Linked DNA regions of Oryctolagus cuniculus. The protein of the gene in region 2 binds, or shares a complex with, the protein of the main gene of each other region. Links are inferred from orthologs where the notes say so. Each region holds a gene or a part of one and is shown on either strand. Other genes may lie near its edges. The genes, in order: TUBG2 and TUBGCP5.

The links.
Region 1: TUBGCP5 (region 2) and TUBG2 share a complex: the UniProt entries of both Homo sapiens proteins name them as parts of the gamma-tubulin ring complex. The link is inferred for Oryctolagus cuniculus from reciprocal best matches to the Homo sapiens genes TUBGCP5 and TUBG2.

The regions. Positions count from the first base shown.
Region 1 is NC_091448.1:20,228,884-20,231,402, reverse strand, and holds the end of TUBG2 (tubulin gamma-2 chain), read left to right. Parts: intron 1-411; coding exon 412-498; intron 499-614; coding exon 615-764; intron 765-1,118; coding exon 1,119-1,271; intron 1,272-1,348; coding exon 1,349-1,510; intron 1,511-1,616; coding exon 1,617-1,814; 3' UTR 1,815-1,993; downstream 1,994-2,519. UniProt on the Homo sapiens protein: Tubulin is the major constituent of microtubules, protein filaments consisting of alpha- and beta-tubulin heterodimers. Gamma-tubulin is a key component of the gamma-tubulin ring complex (gTuRC) which mediates microtubule nucleation.
Region 2 is NC_091443.1:17,643,168-17,646,987, reverse strand, and holds part of TUBGCP5 (gamma-tubulin complex component 5), read left to right. Parts: intron 1-339; coding exon 340-522; intron 523-1,511; coding exon 1,512-1,596; intron 1,597-1,693; coding exon 1,694-1,814; intron 1,815-2,239; coding exon 2,240-2,421; intron 2,422-3,820. UniProt on the Homo sapiens protein: Component of the gamma-tubulin ring complex (gTuRC) which mediates microtubule nucleation.

The DNA.
Region 1 (2,519 bases), on a different chromosome or scaffold from region 2:
CCACTCAGCCCACTCAGTGCCTGCTCACGTTTCAGCTCCAGCTCAGGGGTCACTGTCTTAGTGAAACTTCGCTGCCTACCCAGTCAAGGTCAGCTTCCTTTGTCATATTTCAGGTTAACAGCGTCTTTTTTCTGTTCTGTATTCAATGTCAGCCTCCCTCAACTAGGCTGGAGGCCTGGCGAGGGCAAGACCGTGCCCGTTTTCACTCTGTGGTCACTCCAGACCCAGGCACAAAGTGTGGCACAGAGGACACTCACAGATTTGTTTACTGCCCTGCACTGTCCAGAGGGACTCATAATACCCCCAAAGAATGCTTTCCTTGTAAACTAGCAAAGCTACTGACTGCCTTTACAGCTTAGCAGGTGCTCAGCCAATATTTCATGTCTATGCCACCCTGTCTGTCCCCTCCAGGTGGTGCTGGACAACACAGCCCTGAACCGGATAGCCACGGACCGCCTGCACATCCAGAACCCATCCTTCTCCCAGATCAACCAGCTGGTGAGCCCACCTCTGCACTCCTTCCCACTGGAAGTCCTCCCTGAGGGAGGACTGTCGGGGGAGGGGGGAGGGGTCCTACCCAGGCCAGGCCCATGACACAGCACCCCTGTCCCCAGGTGTCCACCATCATGTCAGCCAGCACCACCACCCTGCGCTACCCCGGCTACATGAACAACGACCTCATCGGCCTCATCGCCTCGCTCATCCCCACGCCCCGGCTCCACTTCCTCATGACCGGCTACACCCCCCTCACCACGGACCAGTCAGTAAGAGCAGCCCTCAGTGTCCCGGGCCAGCTGGCCCTGACCTGGCCTCTCCTCTCCTCGCTGCCCTGGCAGCTGCCCATTGCAGCCCCCAGAGGCCTTGCACTCAGGCACTGGCAGAGCGTGGGACTGTCTCGCTGCCTCGTCTCCACCTTCCCTCTGCCCTGGGCTCCTGCAGGCCCCGTGGCGTGGGGAGCGCTGTTGGCTCCTGCACGAGGACATGTCTGTGAGCTGACGCTGGTCCTGCCTGAGAGGCCGCACTGCTCCAAGTCTGCCGGGGTGTGCTGGCTCCTCTGCATCCCTGCCCGGTGCCCCGAGTGCTGGTCTGGCCCCTGTGACCGCTATCCCACCCCTCAGGTGGCCAGCGTGAGGAAGACCACGGTCCTGGACGTCATGCGGCGGCTGCTGCAGCCCAAGAACGTGATGGTGTCCACAGGCCGGGACCGCCAGACCAACCACTGCTACATCGCCATCCTCAACATCATCCAGGGGGAGGTGGACCCCACCCAGGTAGGGGAGGCCCCTTCCTCCTAGCCTGAAGCCGCAGGGGCACAGAGAGGCTGCCACCTCCCACTGTGCCCACCCAGGTCCACAAGAGCCTGCAGAGGATCCGGGAACGGAAGTTGGCCAACTTCATCCCCTGGGGCCCAGCCAGCATCCAGGTGGCCCTGTCGAGGAAGTCTCCCTACCTGCCCTCAGCCCACCGGGTCAGCGGGCTCATGATGGCCAACCACACCAGCATCTCCTCCGTGAGTCTGGCCATCCTCTGTTCCACCCTCTGCCTTCCCCCAGTCACTTCTCAACCCCTCCCCGTCCTACGCTGGCCCCTCTCCTGGAGTTTTCCGTTTCTTCCAGCTCTTCGAAAGTTCCTGCCAGCAGTACGACAAGCTGTGGAAGCGGGGAGCCTTTCTGGAGCAGTTCCGCAAGGAGGACATCTTCAAGGACAACTTCGACGAGATGGACAGGTCCAGGGAGGTTGTGCAGGAGCTCATCGACGAGTACCACGCAGCCACCCGGCCGGACTACATCTCCTGGGGCACCCAGGAGCAGTGACTTCCCTTCCTGTTCCTCTTCCCGAGTGGGAAACACAGCCTCCATCCCTGGTTCCGCTGACCCAACCCTGCCCGTCAGCCTCTCTGGGTCATCTCCAGCCCAGGAGCTGGCCTACTTCCTCCCTTCTGTGCCCTGACCCTTGATATGCTTGTTCAGCTCTAATAAAGTAATAAAGCATGCTTGTGAGCATAGGCAGGGCTTGAGCGGAACCTGGGGGATGGTGAAGGGATGTCCAGTGTCCAGGCACGCGATGGGAAGGTGGCCCCTGCCTGCTCTAGTCCAGGTCTGTGTCCAGGGTTTCCACTGGTGTCCTTTTTTATTTATTTATTTTTATTTTTTGACAGGCAGAGTGGACAGTGAGAGAGAGAGACAGAGAGAAAGGTCTTCCTTTGCTGTTGGTTCACCCTCCAATGGCCCCCGCGGCTGGTGCGCTGTGGCCGGCGCACCGCGCTGATCCGAAGCCAGGAGCCAGGTGCTTCTCCTGGTCTCCCATGGGGTGCAGGGCCCAAGCACTTGGGCCATCCTCCACTGCCTTCCCTGGCCACAGCAGAGAGCTGTCCTGGAAGAGGGGCAACCGGGACAGAATCCGGCACCCCGACCGGGACTAGAACCCGGTGTGCCGGCGCCGCAAGGCGGAGGATTAGCCTAGTGAGCCGTGGCACCGGCCTCCACTGGTGTCCTTTACCTTGAGTCTAGCTGTCTTAC
Region 2 (3,820 bases):
TCCTCTTCCAGTTCAGCTCTCTGCTGTGGCCCGAGAAGGCAGTGGAGGATGGCCCAATTGCTTGGGCCCTGCACCCGCGTGGGAGACCAGGCGGAAGCACCTGGCTCCTGGCTTTGGATCGGCGCAGCACGCCGGCCGTGGCAGCCATTTGGGGGGTGAACCAATGGAAAAGGAAGACCTTTCTCTCTATCTCACTGTCTAACTCGGCCTGTCAAAAATAAATAAATAAATATAGAATAGACACTTGTTTCACTAAAACTGACAGTGTACAAAACCTGGTGTTGATGGAGAATCCTGCCTTATGAATTGAAAACATCTTTGTCACTTCTCTCCATCCAGGCTGGTGGAATACCTACAGGCTATGAGAAATTTTTTCTTAATGGAAGGTGGAGATACCATGTATGACTTTTACACGTCGATTTTTGATAAAATACGAGAAAAGGAAACCTGGCAGAATGTGTCTTTTCTTAATGTTCAGCTCCAGGAAGCAGTAGGACAACGTTATCCTGAAGATAGTTCACGGTAAAATTAAGGAGATGCCTTTTTATTAAAACAGTATAAAATTAACCATGTGCCAGGAAATATCTGAATCTTTACATTTATTATCCTTCTTAATCTTGACACTAGCCCTCTGAGGTCTGCTAATATTATTTTATATATTAGAAAGTTGAGACAGTGAGTACCCAAGCGCCTCACCTACAAAACAAAAGACCATCAGATGGAACCACCCAGCCTCTTGGGGTCTATAGGCCCCACCGTGTGCTTGGAGTCTGTGCTTCTCTCTTAGCTCCCACACATCTTTGGTGCTAAGTCTCCCTGGAGAATGCTCCCCAGCACCATCTCTTAATACCTCTATGACCATGGGAGTCAATCCCCTTGGTAACACCCATGAGGCTTTTTTGAGGATTACGTGAGTAGTGCCTCAGTAGTGCCTGGTGCATGGACACCCCATGTGCTGTGTTAGGTACTCTCCTTTTGAGAATCATATTCAGACTTGCTTCAGGAATGCATGGGGGAAAACAAAGTGTGCCACTTGTGCCACAGATGCAGCACCCCACACACACACCCTGTGCTCACCTGGGTCTGACTCTGGCAGCTGCTGCACGTACCACATGCATGGCTCCCTCCTGCCTCCTCAAACGCGAGCAGAAGGCTCTGTCTGCTGAGCCTCTTTGATTTTATCAGAATTAAGCTCCCAGCCTATTACTGCTATTTCTTCTCTGTCTTTGCCTTTTTTTTTTTTTATTAAGAATTGCCTTTGTTAGTATGTCTTCTATAGCTAAACCCATTGTCTGAAATTTTTGCCATTTTTCCTTATTTTGAAAGTCAAATGTCTGTTCTGAAATAGATGCTAGAAAACATAACCTTAGTTAACAAATTAGCATTCTTTGAAATCCAGAATACTTTTGGAATATTATGTAAATAAATGTTAAAAAGCTAATTGTTTTTAAAAGGCTGTTTTATATAAGCATAGTGCCATCATAAACTAAAATTGAAATTTCTTTATTTAGTCTGTCTATATCTTTTGAAAACGTTGACACCACGAAGAAGAAGCTCCCTGTTCATATCTTAGATGGTTTGACCCTGAGCTACAAGGTGTGTGCTGAAATTCTTTTACAGATGCTGTTTTCTATTCTAAAGCAGACAATGGTGGATTACTTTCTCTTCTAATTTTCTGGTTTTGTTTTCATAGGTTCCTTGGCCTGTGGACATTGTTATAAGTTTGGAATGTCAAAAAATTTATAATCAGGTGTTCCTGCTCCTATTGCAAATAAAGTGGGCAAAATATAGTCTGGATGTTTTACTATTTGGTGGTAAGATTTGTTTTCAACAGATAAATTGCAATTTAATCTTAGCCCTGAAAAAAAGAGATTGGTGGTCTTTGACCATTTTTTATGTGTACACAAATACCAAAATTTATAGCAAACACCTGATATCTGAATGGAATATTGGAATGTTTTATGGATAATCTGAAATACAGTGCTTTGAGTGAGAATTCAGCCAGAATAAACACTTAGGTTATTCAAAAAATATAGTAAGTGTATAGAACTCCTGACTCATATTTTTCACGAGAGTGATTCCAAAGGTGACATGGGTCCTTCATGCTCCCTTTTCCCAAGGCGCTGAGGTCAGTCCTTGACGTAGTGCCAAAGCCTGGCCCCCAGAATTCCCACCATGTGCAGCAGGCAGCCGGGCTCGAGGCCGTGCTCTCTCTACCACTTTTTTCAATCTCCTACAGAGTTGGCTAGTGCTGCTCAAAAACCGCCGCTCCAGGAAGGCCTTCTGGGTGAACAAGACACAGCTGCACCGTTTGGACCGCAGAAGGAGCCGCCAGTGAGGCAGCAGATCCACCGCATGTTCCTCCTGAGAGTGAAGCTTATGCATTTTGTGAACAGCTTACACAACTACATCATGACCAGGGTTTGTGTCTGCCTCTACCTCAGTTCTGTATCCAACAGTTGTTCATAGCAAAGTACTTTTTGCATTTATAGAAGTGCACAGGGGCTGGCGCCGTGGCTCACTAGGCTAATCCTCTGCCTTGCGGCGCCGGCACACGAGGTTCTAGTCCCGGTCGGGGCGCCGGTTTCTGTCCCGGTTGCCCCTCCTCCAGGCCAGCTCTCTGCTGTGGCCAGGGAGTGCAGTGGAGGATGACCCAAGTGCTTGGGCCCTGCACCCCATGGGAGACAGGAGAAGCACCTGGCTCCTGCCATTGGATCAGCGCGGTGCGCCGGCCGTGGCGGCCATTGGAGGGTGAACCAACGGCAAAGGAAGACCTTTCTCTCTGTCTCTCTGTCTCACTGTTCACTCTGCCTGTCAAAAAAGAAAAAGAAAAAGAGAAAAAAAAAAAATAAGTGCACAGGAACTCATAGATTCATGTAGATGGTGGAGATGGGACGTAGAAGATCTGGTATTTGGCACAGAGATTAAGACGCTACTTGGGATGCCCTCATCCCATATCAGAGTGCCTGGATTTGAGTCCGACTCCACTCCCAGTTCCAGCTTCCTGCTAACACGTGTGTTCCAGGGAGCCAGCAGGTAATGACTCGAGTGCTTGAGTCTCTGCCCTCAGTGTGGGAGACCCGCATTGAGCCCCATGCTCTTGACTGTGGCCTGCCTGACTCCAGCAAGTACAGGCACTTGGGGGTGAACCAGCAAAAGGAAGATCTTTCTGTGTTTTGTCTTTTTCTCTCTCTCTGTCTCTCGGCTGCCTTCCAAATATATAAATATGGTTTTTTAACAAGAATGCTCAAGGGGCTAGCGCCATGGCACAGTAGGTTAATCCTCCACTTGTGGCGCCAGCATCCCATTTGGGCGCCGGTTCTAGTCCCGGTTGCCCCTCTTCTGATCCAGCTCTCTGCTATGGCCTGGGAAGACAGTAGAGGATGGCCCAAGTCCTTGGGCCCCTGCACCTGCATGGGAGACCTGGAGGAAGCACCTGGCTCCTGGCTTCAGATTGGCTCAGCTCTGGCTGTTGCAACCATCTGGGGAGTAAACCAACAGAGGGAAGACCTTTCTCTCTGTCTCTCCCTCTCACTGTTTATAATTCTACCTCTCAAATAAATAAATAAAATCTTTTTTTAAAAAAAAAAAGAATGCTCAAGATGAGAACTTTTTTTTTTTTAAGATTTGTGTATTTATTTGAAATAGTAACAGTGGTTTACTCCCCATATGGCCACAGGGGCCCAAGTACTTGGGTTATCTTCTGCTGCTTTCTCAGGCCATAAAAGGGAAGTTAGATTGGAAGTAGAGTAGCCAGGACACAAATTGGTGCCCGTAAGGAATGCCTGCATTGCAGGCAGTGCCTTTACCCACTGTGCCA